Caenorhabditis elegans: one gene and its partner. The protein of the gene in region 2 purifies or fractionates together with the protein of the main gene of each other region. This does not show direct contact. Each region holds a gene or a part of one and is shown on either strand. Other genes may lie near its edges.

Region 1 (5,579 bases), 1.4 Mb from region 2:
TAGAAAAACAAGAGAATTCATGATAAAACACGAAAAATCGCCCGAATTCAATTGGATATATCTTTTTGGATATATAATTGAATATATTGGATAGATATATTAATATTTTTATCAATTGATTGTCCCAGAGCAGTACACGACCGGGAATCAAGAAACTTATCTCTTAAGCATATGTCTGGAATTTGTTCTCAAATCATTTTTCTAATCTGCAAAATTGCAAAAATCTGCTCTTTTCCTCCGTAAAACACATTCATCGCCATCTGGAATTCATTGCCGTTCCGTTTCTTTTGTTGTTCTTCACATTTTTGTCCATTGTAATGTTCAGATAGCTGTGCCACAAATTAGAGATGTCTGAAGTGTAATGCCACGTCACTTTCAGAAATCTCCAGAATCTTTCGAAACTTGTTGGCTGACAAGTCGAAGGTACTTTTTTTTTTGAAATCGATCGAGGTGTTGTTGATCCGCGAGTTGAGCAGCTGTCCAGCTGTCGCGTCCAACCCACTCAAAATTGTTGTTTTCGTGAAATGGGAAAAAGTTTGGCCTCTATTTACTGCATAAACATTTTGAAACCTCGACAAACCAGCAAACAAATTGAAACATAAAATAGAAATACGAAATAAATATAATGACGGGGAGGGAGAGCAATGAACTAGAATGCAACAGACAACAATAAATAGAGGAAAGGAAGCGATATGAAAAACAGGAAATAGATTGAAAATTGGGGAAATTAATTGATTGCAGCAAGGGCAAATTTCTGGGCGAGTTCGACGGCAGCATCAAGTTTATCGACATTCTCTCCGGTGAGCTGAGCATTTGCGTCCTTTCCACCACCTTTTCCACCGAGAACTGTGCAAACTTCATTCACCCACTCGTTGGCTTTCAGGCCGTTGCTCACCAAGCTCTGAAAAAATTATATTATTTTTCTGAATTGTTTCAAAATTTCAAATTTCTCACCTTATCAACTTTAGCAAGACACAAAACTTTTCCAGAATCTTCATTCACAGAGAAAGCCATAACTGCTTTTGTGTCCTTGAGAAGTTTCAGAGCATTATCGATGGCTTTGCTGTTAGCATTGGCGGCGAAGACGTGAACGAGAACAGTAGGCTGCTCAGCGACAGCAGCAAGTTCCTTGGCTTCTCCAAGAACCTTTTCAGCGACAGCGGCTTGTTGTGCCTTTGTGTATCCATCCAAAGTCTTCTGAATGGCCTTTGCCTTTTCACGGATAGAATCCTTTCGCCAGTATGGCAGCTGAGCTCCGTTGGCTTCATCGACAATTTCTTGAATCTTCTTCTGGAGAGCCTTGAACTTATCCTTGTTGGCCAAGAGCTCATCCTTCTTATCGGCATGCTTCGATTCTTCTTCTAATCGAGCAGTCAGTCGATCGGCTCTGGCAATGGCTCTTTCAGCTTCTGGTCCTGTCAATGCAACGATACGACGGATTCCTTTAGCAATAGCTTCTTCCGATGCGATGACAATGCGGCCAATGTGAGACACGTTCTGGAGATGGCTGAAATTATAAAAATTATATCAAAATTTAACGGGTATCATCATAAAATATAAAAAGAATTAGTACTCACGTTCCTCCGCAGAACTCGACAGTCGTGTTCTGTCCCTCCTCTGCATCAGGATTCTGGAGAAGTTGCTCAACTGGAGTTCCGACAGCGACAACACGAACTGGATCTGGGTATGTTTCATCAAACATCGCACGAAGTCCCTTGACTTTTTTGGCTTCTCCAAGTGGCGAGTTCTTGGCGTAAACTTGTCCTTTTGTGTCAATCAGCTGTTGAGCGTATTCCTCGGCTTTCTTCACTTGCTGAACAGTCATTCCAGCTTTGTTGGTGAAGTCGAATCTCATACGATCTGGAGCAACGAGTGATCCCTTCTGATCCGAATCGGCGAGAACTTTGCGAAGAGCATAGTTGAGGACATGAGTTCCGGTGTGATTCTTCATGATCAGTTGCTTCCGGTCTTCATCGAATCGTTCGTTGACCTGATCACCGACTGAGAAGCTTCCTTCGGCGGATCCAACAAGCACGATGTATCCACCACGAACTTGGCAGTTGCTCACGTTGAACTCGTTCGACTCGTCATTGACTTTTGTCAAAACTCCGACGTCGTAGATCTGACCTCCCTGCTCGGCGTAGAAATTTGTCCGATCGAGAAGAATGGCTCCTTCTTCTCCGGCAGCAAGTTGATCGACAAACTTTCCGTCTCGGCGAATAGCAAGAATCTTTCCAACGCATGGCTCAAACTCTGAAGAAAAATAATTATTACAAGTTCATAAAAACAAACAAAAAACATACTGTACACAGCATCGGATCCTTCTCCAGTAAACGTGTAAGCGTACTTTGGCGAATCGTCGGTAGTTGGAACTCCCTTCTGTTGAAGCTCAGCCAATGCGTGAACATCCAAATCCAGCGTGTCACGGAACTTTCCAGTTCCAGCTGATGATGTCTCGATGGCTTTCCTGCGAGCCTCCTCGAAAGCAGTATTATCGACAGACAATCCTTTCTCTTCGGCCATCAGTTGAGTCAAGTCAGCTGGGAATCCATATGTATCGTAGAGTCTCCATGAAACATCTCCAGGGAACGTCATGGTTCCTTCTGGAAGCGATTGAACAGCGCGTTGGAAGAGAACACGTCCACGAGACAACGTTTTCAGGAATTGCTTCTCCTCGTCGTTGATGATATCCATGACGGTCACTGGATCACGGCTGAGTTCTGGGAAAGTCTCTCCGAGAATTGAAATAACCACTGGAACGAGTGATGCGAAGAATCCAGGCTGTGCATTCAACTTTTCGCTGGCATAACGAACTCCACGACGAAGAATTCGACGGAGCACATATCCTCTTCCAGAATTATCCGGACGGCCACCATCAGAGAGAGCAATGGTCAATGTTCTGACGTGATCAGCAACTACACGATATGCCATGTCCACTCCGTCTTTGTCTTCGTCACCAATGAAGCCAGTATAGGCACGAACGCCACTTCCTTTGTGAATCGCCTCGAAAATTGGTTGGAAAATGTCCGTATCGTAGTTGCTCGTCTTATCCTGCATCACAGCAATCAATCGTTCGAGTCCAAGACCACAATCGATGTGCTTCGCTGGCAATGGTTTCAGGACGCCTCCTTCCTCGCGATTGAATTGAATGAAGACAAGATTCCAGATTTCAACAACCATTGGATCATCGGCGTTGACAAGATGAGATGCGTCACGATTTCCAATGCGATCATAGTGAATCTCAGAGCATGGTCCACATGGTCCAACATCTCCCATCTCCCAGAAGTTATCCTTCATACCGAAGTTCAAAATGCGCTCGTCTGGCACTCCGACGGATCTCCAGATATCACGAGCTTCAGAGTCGGCGGGGACTCCGTTTGCCTCGTCGCCACCAAAAACCGACACATAAAGACGTTCCGCTGGGATTCCGTATACTGTTGTGAGAAGTTCCCAAGCCCATGTGATGATTTCTTTCTGAAAATTATTTTTTTAAAGAAATTTAATTAACTAAATCAATTTCTAACCTTGAAATAATCACCGAAAGACCAATTTCCAAGCATCTCGAAGTATGTGTGATGGTAGACATCTTTGCCGACATCGTCCAAGTCGTTATGCTTTCCACCGGCGCGAATGCACTTCTGCGTGTTCACGGCTCTTTTCAGCTTGGCAAGGTCGCTGTTTGGATCGGCGATTCCGAGGAACAACGGCTTGAACTGAAAATTTTAATTATTAATTGCAAGAAAAGCCGTTTGAATATTCTTACTTGGTTCATTCCCGCGTTGGCGAAAAGAAGAGTTGGGTCATCGTGCGGAATAACAGACGACGAATGTACATAAGTGTGCTCCTTCTTCTCTCGGAAAAAGTTGATGAAGGTAGAGCGGACCTCTGAGGCAGTCAGGTGCTTCATAGTAACCCAGGAGAGGTTGCTCTGAAAGAAAAAACTTTAAAATTGTTTTTGCTAACTTATAAACGACGAAAAATAGGGGAGGCGAGATTACGAGAGATTTCGCAATGAATCGAATTCGATTCGGTGCGAATTGGGTGCGAGAACGAGGAAGCTGAACAAAGAAAAATCGAAACAGTGCGCGGAAGAAAGCGGAAGCGCGGAAAAAGACAAGAATAGCGAATAAAATGAAGAATGAGTGCGGGAAACATTTCAGTGAGGTGGGCGGAGTCCAAACGCAAGCGCCGCACACTTTCTATGAAAACCGCGGGAAAACTTCATTTTCAAAATTTAATTTTTTGCGGTAGAAAATTTGGTCAATTTCTTTCATTTTTATCATCAAAATGAAATAGGAATGAACGCAAATCCATTTGTAAACGATTCGATTCATAAAAGACCCAGCACACATTGTTCTCTTTTCCATCTCTAAAATTTGTGTAGTCTCTCACTCGGTAAAACTTGTCAACACCGCATTCAATATGTTTTTCTGTGGAGCAATAAATTGATTTTCATTTGAAAAAAAAACAACTGGATAGATAATAAGATAGTGCCGAACATGATAATTTTAAGAAAATTGGGAAATTACAAAAAAACCCGAAAAAAGTGTTAAATCTGAAAAACTGATATATCTGTGAACCTTTAGTTTTAGAATTACGTGGAATAGATTTTTAGTACAGGAACACAAAATTCTGAGAATGCGTATTGAGCAGCATTTTGCGAGCAAAATATCTCGTAGCGAAAACTACAGTAATTATGTAAATGACTACTGTGGTGTCGATTTACGGGCTCGTTTTTCGAAAACAATTAAAATAATTGATTAATCGATATAATACTAATAGTAAGCGAAAAATGAGAAAATAATACGAAGAACCGAAGGAAAATGGAATATCACTGTCGCTCTTCAGAAATAAAATCTCTTGTCTTGTCAGATCGATAAATTCAAGCTGGTCATTGAGTTGCTCTTTTTCTCCGAAAGACTCACTCTAATCTTTGATTGAAAATCGTTGTATTTTTTTTTAATTTTACATTTATTTAAACTTTCTTCATTTTCTCAACTGGATATTAATTTAGTTGTATAGCATAACTTTAAACCAAGTACGCAACATTACAGAATTTTTTCTAGAATGTCCGTCAAATTATTCTCTCTACCAAGTGTGGTTCATTCACAATTGCTCAAGGAAATGAATGAACCAGACGTTTTCATTTTATCTCTTTGTTCGAAAAAATCTGCATCGGTCGTTCGAAAGCGAATCCTGGAGGTGCCTTCTATAGAACATACGTTCACGAGAACAGATTCTTTTCATATGCATGGTTTGAATGTAGAGAGCAAGAAATATAGACTTCAGCTACTATTTACAAGTGATCCATCGCCAAAAAAATTGATCTTTATACTGAAGACAAAGCTACTTCTTATTGGGTTATTCAAGTAATTTTAGAAACGAAGAATCAATTAAGAAGAAGTACAAAATATTGTGAGGTTTATTTTAAACCATTTACAAACTTATTTACAATTTACCAATAACTTATATATATATATACCAGCCGTTCGCACGCGCTGAAGCGCGTGCTCCGACTGGCGTACTCAAAATTGAAATCAAATTCTAAATTTTCTAAGCCTTCTTTGCAGATGGAACGT
Region 2 (7,281 bases):
TCGTCCTCTTACCCTGCCTGTTTGCAATCTTCCATCGAATACATTCACTGTTCCGAGTACCGAAAACATCTCCAATTGAATCAAAATGATCTCGAATTCCAATCTATTATGTTTGTTCGATCTTTGTGCTGTCTGCGTCTCTCTCTTTCTCTCTCCCCCGCCAAACTTTCCCTCCACTGTTTACCAATTCCCTTTGATAAATAATTTTTACGGTGATTTCTAAATGATAATACGGTAATAAAGATAACTCGCCCAATACACGTGGACAACTGCTTTTTCTGGAAATTTCTGGACCAACATCCAGGGATAAATGGAAGTATACGTGACTGACCGCACTTTAAATCGTCGAAAACATTGGACATTTCTCTCCGCTCTCCGTCTCACGTTTTCACTATCCCTCCCGCAACTTTTCACTATAAAATTCGCATTTTGTCGAGTGTTAGGCGAATTTTTTTCGAATCGGATTTATTTTTACTCTGAACTTTTTTTTCTTCAAAACTAAATATATTGTCAGATTGAATATTTTTTAATCACAAAACCGTTCAAATTATTATTGGAAAACGATTTTTTAAGCATTATGGACGACAATTACACTCAAAATAATAAAACTGCGTGGCGTGTACTGCAGAAAACCTAATATTTAGGCCCCGCCTTTTAATCGTCCACTCACGGGGAAAACGCAAAAAGCGGTACCCCAGGCAATATCAGCCGCCGACATCATTCGAGGTCCGCGCACCACACTATTTTTCTCACTGTTGGCGTGGCGAGCTGTCCCCCCCTCCCCTATTTTTGTTTTTTCCCCGTGAGTGGACGATTAAAAGGCGGGGCCTAAATATTAGGTTTTCTGCAGTACACGCCACGCAGTTTTATTATTTTGAGTGTAATTAATTTCCTAAAAAACATAAAAACAAAACGTTTGTTACAGTAATCCTTTAAAGGCGCACGCCTTCCCTTCTGGCTTCGGGTCTCACTGCGATTTCTACAAAACATTGTTAAAAAAATTTTTTCACTTTTTATTTTTCTAGTGTTTTCAAAATATTTTTGAATATTTTTAGATTACTTTATATAAAGAATAACACTTGAGAAATTTCAAGAAAATCTAAACAAAAGCAGTTGCTAGCAAAATAGCAGTAAAAAAACTTAAAAATTTCTACAGTAATCTTTTAATGGGACAAATTGCTTTTCTGTACTTAGGGTTTCACAACGATGATGGTTTTAAAGCTTTTTTATTCATTTTTCAATGTATTTTAGCGATCTTTGACCGATTCTCCCGGATTTTCACAGGTTTCTCTACTAAATTAAATATTTTGCACTACTTTCCACCTCGAAATATTCAAAAATCAGCGCATTAATGTTTGTTTACCACAAAGTTCAAAGTATCAGCGGGCAACACAAAGTATTTTGTTGCCTGATCGCCTCATTCTCCCGCCTTTCTATTTCGCCGTCGCTCGCTTCTCTGTGCTCTCCCAGTTTTGCATGCTATCTCGCCGCTCGGCCTCTGTTCTTCTCAATGACCGGCAACATGAGATTAACAGATTTTACCATCTAAATTGCCATTTCGACGCCGTAAAAATTCGATTTCCTTTTTAATTTCCAATTTTTCAATGCAAAATTCTCTATTTTAAATTTCTAAATTTCAAAATTCAATAAATTCTTACAGAAATGGCCTCGGAAACCAGTCAATTCGGAATCGAGACCGACTCGATCACCCTTCAACGTTACGTGCTCCAAGAGCAGCGTAAGCATGCCGATGCAAGTGGAGAGCTTACCGCGTTGCTCACCAACATGCTCGTCGCCATCAAGGCAATCGCTTCAGCCACCCAGAAGGCAGGACTCGCGAAATTGTATGGAATTTGGGATTTATCACGAAAAATCTATTTAAAAATACGCAAACATTGCCAAAAAATTGCTATGAAAGTTCAAATTTTCGATAAATCGGTCTAGTTTTAGCTAAAATCTCAAATTTTGGTCATATTTCCGTACTTTTACCAAAATTTTGAGATTTTAGCTAAAATTTGCATTTTTTTTTTCGATATTTTGAGACATTTTTGTTCATTTGGACGCATTTCTAATATTATAAGAGCACAAAATTCTGAGAATGCGTACGGTACAACATATTTGACGCGCAAAATATCTCGTAGCGAAAACTACAGTAATTCTTTAACTGATTACTGTAGCGCTGGTGTCGATTTACGGGAATGGATCTTTTTTTTCGAAATTCGATTAAGAGTGTCGGTTTTTCGATTAATTCAAAAAATCGGAAAACGAAAAATTTTCGATTTTTCGTATTTTTTTTTCAATTTTTTCGATTTTTTTTAGGCGAAAAAATTTGGTAATTGTTCTTTTTGTTAGAATAAAATATTATGTTTTTATCATCAACATAAACAAAATTAAATTGAATAAAAAATCACATTTAATGGTTAATTTTCAGATTTTTTTTTCCGATTTTTGGGAAATCAAACTTTTTTCGGGTTTTAGAATTCCCCTCAAAAAATCGAAAATTCGAAAAAAAAAATCGAAAAACCCTTTTTTTTTCCTTATTTTGTGCTTATTTTTAATGTTTCCGTAAATCGACACAAGAGCTACAGTAGTCATTTAAATAATTACTGTAGTTTTCGCTAAGAGATATTTTGCGCGTCATATATGTTGCGCAATACGCATTCTCAGAATTTTCGAGAAAAATAATCAAAAAACTAAAATTTTTCGTTTTTCGATTTTTTTAAAAATTCGGAAAACCGACACCCTTGCTCGTAAAATAAATAAAATTAAAGGTGGTTTAGTCGAAATTTTTTTAATTGCTTAATTATCCTCAAAATAGTCTGAAAATAGTCTGAAAACGCCGAATTTTATAATGAAACATCTTGAAAACTTCTCAAAAAAAAGTTATGACGGCTCAAAAATTGGCCTAAAATTAGTTAAAATTTGAAATGTGACCGACTTGTCAAACCGCTGGAAACTTATTTTTTTGAAATCACCGTCAAATTTTGGGTATATAATTTAATTATCTTGCGTTTTCAACTCGATTTGGGTATTTTAAAGTCGATGGACGGCAAGATTTGGTGAAAAAAGTTAAACAATTCTTGCCGTCCATCGTCTTTAAAATACCTAAATGAAGTTGAAAACGCCAAGATAATTACATTATATACCCAAAATAAGACGGTAATTTCAAAAAAGTTAGTTTCCAGCCGCTTGACAAGTCGGTCAAATTTCAAATTTCAATTAATTTTAGGCCGTTTTTCGAGCCGTCATAACTTTTTTTTGAGAAGTTTTCAAGAAGTTTCATTATGAAATTCGGTGTTTTCAGAAAATTTTGAGTCTAATAAAGCAATAAAAAATTGACTACACCACCTTTAAATAAATTTTCAGTATTCCTTAAAAAACTAAATATATATATATATATATTCCAGATACGGAATCGCTGGAGCCACCAACGTACAAGGCGAGGAAGTGAAGAAGCTTGACGTGCTGAGCAATGAGCTCATGATCAACATGCTCAAGAGCAGCTACACAACATGTCTCCTAGTCTCCGAGGAGAACGATGAGCTCATTGAGGTGGAGGAGCAACGTCGTGGAAAGTACATTGTGACTTTTGATCCATTGGATGGATCTTCCAATATCGATTGCCTCGTCTCAATCGGAACCATCTTCGGAATCTACAAAAAACGTGGAGATGGTCCGGCGACTGTCGATGATGTTCTGAAGCCTGGAAAGGAAATGGTGGCAGCTGGTTATGCTCTCTATGGATCTGCTACTATGGTCGTTTTGTCCACTGGTGATGGTGTCAATGGGTTCACTCTTGACCCTGTTAGTAGTCTTTTTTTTCGAGTTTTTTTGTGGTGAAAATTGGATAAAAATTCAGTTTTTTTTTTTCAGAAAAATCCGGTTAAAATTAGAAAAATTGAGTATTTTTAGACATTTTTTCAATCTTGTTAGGGATATTTAATTTGAAAGCCTTTTTAAAATCAAAGATTTCACCATTTTCAAATAGTTTTTACCTATTTCTCCTTATTTTTGAAATTTTGAGAAAAAACAAAACGATTTTTCACTTTTCAAATTAAAAAAAAAACTAAAAATATTAAATTTCAGATTAAAAAAATAACTCTTTAAAAAAATTTTTAAATTAAAAAAAATCGATTTTCAGAATTTTTTTTAAATATTAAATCTCCGAAAAAAAAACAAAAATTTTAATTTTAAAAAAATTGATTTTCAGATAAAAAATTAATTACATCTCTCTGAAAAAAAAACTTGAAAAATTGCACAAAATCGATATTGAGAATTTTAAAAATTAAAAATTAATTAAAAATAAATATCTCTGAAAATCTAGAAAAAATCGAAAAAAAAAAGATTTTCGGACTGTAAAAAAATTAAAAACTCATTTGAAAAAAAAGTTAAAATCTCTGAAAAAACTTGAAAAATCAAAAAAATCCGATTTTTAAATAACATCCCTCTGAATAAATTAAAAAAAAAAATGATTTTGAGATTTTTTTAAAACAATTAAATATCCCTAAAATGTCTTGACAAATCGCAAAAAAACGTGTTTTTTATTAAATATCTCTTAAAAAATTTTAAACAGCAATACGAAATCGATTTTCAGGTTTTTTAGAGTTAAATCTCTCTGAAAAAAATTGAAAAATCAAAAAACATTCGATTTTCAGACTTAAAAGATTAAATCTCTCTGAAAAATTTTAAAAATTCAAAAAAAAATTGTTTTTCAGACTTTAAAAATTTAATCTTTAGGAAAAAATTGAAAAATCTTAGAAAAAATAAATCAAAAACACTTTTTCGAAATTTGAAAAAGCGAAAAAAATAAATAAAATCAGTTATTTTTTTTTTTTGAAAAATCGATAATTTTTCAGTCCATCGGAGAGTTCATCCTAACCCACCCAAATATGAAATGCAAGGAAAAGGGTTCAATCTACTCGCTAAACGAAGGATATGCTCAGACATGGAGCAAGGGTTTCGCCGAGTATATTCGTACACGAAAGTATCCAGAAGCCGGCAAAAAGGCAATGGGACAGAGATATGTCGGGTCGATGGTTGCCGATGTTCATCGTACAATTCTCAACGGAGGAATCTTTCTCTATCCACCAACTGTATCGGCTCCAAATGGAAAGCTCCGCTTGTTGTACGAGTGTAATCCGATGGCTTATATCATTGAACAGGCCGGAGGTCTCGCCACGACTGGAAAAGAACGTATTCTTGATATTCAGCCAACACAGGTAATTTTCCACAAATCGAGGAGAAAAGACCCTGAAACCAAATTGCCGGTTTGCCGATTTGCCGGAAATTTTCAATTCCGGCAATTTGCCTATTTTCCTAAAATTTCAATTCCGGCAATTTGCCGATTTGGCGGAAATTTAAATTCCGGCAATTTGCCGATTCGCCGGAAATTTCAATTCCGGCAATTTGCTAATTTGACGGGAATTCCAAATTCCGGCAATTCGCTGATTTGCCGGAAATTTTCAATTCCGGCAATTTGCCGATTTTCCGGAAATTTTAAATTCCGGCAATTTGCCGATTTTCCGGAAATTTTAAATTCCGGCAATTTGCCGATTTTCCGGAAATTTTCAATTCCGGCAATTGGCAGATTTTTCGGAAATTTCAATTTCGGCAATTGGCCGATTTGCCGGAAATTTTCAATTCCGGCAAATTGCCGTTTTTCTGGAAATTTCAATTCCGGCAATTTGCCGATTTGTCGGAAATTTCAATTCCGGAAATTTGCTAATTTGACGGAAATTCCAAATTCCGGCAATTCGCTGATTTGCCGGAAATTTTCAATTCCGGCAATTGGCCGATTTTCTGGAAATTTTAAATTCCGCCAATTTGCTGATTTTTTGGAAATTTCAATTCTGGCAATTTTCCGCTTTGCCGGAAATTTCAACTCTGGCAATTTGCCGGAAATTTCAATTTTGGCAATTTGCCGATTTGTCGGAAATTTTCAATTCCGGCAATTTGCCGATTTTCTGGAAATTTCAATTCCGGCAATTTGCCAATTTGCCGGAAATTTTCAATTCTGGAAAAGAACGCATTCTCGATATTCAGCCAACACAGGTGTGTAGCGGAAAAAAATTTGAAATTTTCCACAAATCGAGGAGAAAAAACCGTGAAACCAAATTGCCGGCTTTCTGATTTGCCGGAAATTTTAAATTCCGGCAATTTGCCGATTTGCCGGAAATTTCAATTCCGGCAATTGGCAGATTTTTCGGAAATTTCAATTTCGGCAATTGGCCGATTTGCCGGAAATTTTCAATTCTGGAAAATTGCCGATTTTCTGGAAATTTTCAATTTTGGCAATTTGCCGATTTGCCGGAGATTTTAAATTCCGCCAATTTGTCTATTTTCCTAACATAAAGTTTAAATTTCGGCGTAATTTAAATTTTTGAGACACAATTTCCGGTAAAAATTTATATAAAAATTTTGAAAAAAAATTTTCCCGAAAGTTACTTTTAAAAAAATTGTTAAAACATTCCAAAAATTCAAAAAAAACAAATTCTTCAGATTCACCAACGCGCTCCAATCATTCTCGGATCGAAACTCGACGTCGAGGAGGCTCTCGAATATCTTGCCAAATATGATAATTAGGGTCCCCCAAGTCAAATTTTTTTATTCGAGTAGTAGTTCTTTTTAAATGTTTACATGTACATCACCCTCATTCTTCAGCACTTATTCTTATTTTTTCTAATTTCAACTGTTTTTTCCACGTTTTTTTGTGCCAAATTTGGTATATATTGCATGCTAATCGAAAATTATATGAACTTTTTTTGTCGAGGAATTTTGTACGAAGAGCCAACCGATGCGGAGCAGAAAATTATTTTAGAAAATTTTTTGCAATAAAATTTTTTTTTGGAAATCGAATTTTTCGGTCAAAAAAAACCCCCATTTTTATCCTTTTCACATATTACGGGAACAAAAAATTCAGAGAATGCGTACAGTGCAACATATTTGACGCGCAAAATATCTCGTAGCGAAAACTACAGTAATACTTTAAATAACTACTGTAGCGCTCTTGTGTCGATTTACGGAAATTGAGCGATGAAATATTTGAAGAAAACACAAACATTACGAAAAAATTTAAAAAATCGAATGTTGCTGTCACAATTCGAAAAGAAATCCACCTCGAAAATCGAGGCTCCGTAAATCGACCTACAGTACTCATATAAAGAATTACTGTAGTTTTCGCTACGAGATATTTTGCGCGTCAAATATATTGCATAATACGCATTCTCAAAAATTTGTTTGCCTGTAATAAAACTCAGCAAATTTTTTGATAAATCTATGAAA

Evidence for each region. Proteins that work in one complex are often made in the same cells at the same time.
Region 1: the proteins of fbp-1 (region 2) and aars-2 fractionate together in Caenorhabditis elegans (co-fractionation; one large-scale study listed by BioGRID). This does not show direct contact.

The regions. Positions count from the first base shown.
Region 1 is NC_003279.8:3,981,533-3,987,111, reverse strand, and holds aars-2 (Alanine--tRNA ligase, cytoplasmic), read right to left. Parts: upstream 3,930-5,579; 5' UTR 3,908-3,929; coding exon 3,764-3,907; intron 3,714-3,763; coding exon 3,525-3,713; intron 3,475-3,524; coding exon 2,304-3,474; intron 2,254-2,303; coding exon 1,578-2,253; intron 1,508-1,577; coding exon 955-1,507; intron 902-954; coding exon 728-901; 3' UTR 531-727; downstream 1-530. UniProt on the Caenorhabditis elegans protein: Catalyzes the attachment of alanine to tRNA(Ala) in a two-step reaction: alanine is first activated by ATP to form Ala-AMP and then transferred to the acceptor end of tRNA(Ala). Also edits incorrectly charged tRNA(Ala) via its editing domain.
Region 2 is NC_003279.8:2,580,504-2,587,784, reverse strand, and holds fbp-1 (Fructose-1,6-bisphosphatase isozyme 2), read left to right. Parts: upstream 1-1,660; 5' UTR 1,661-1,662; coding exon 1,663-1,844; intron 1,845-3,407; coding exon 3,408-3,804; intron 3,805-4,856; coding exon 4,857-5,219; exon of another isoform or gene 5,220-6,051; intron 6,052-6,498; coding exon 6,499-6,582; 3' UTR 6,583-6,770; downstream 6,771-7,281. Other genes in the region: ptr-12 (SSD domain-containing protein), read left to right, coding at 1-89.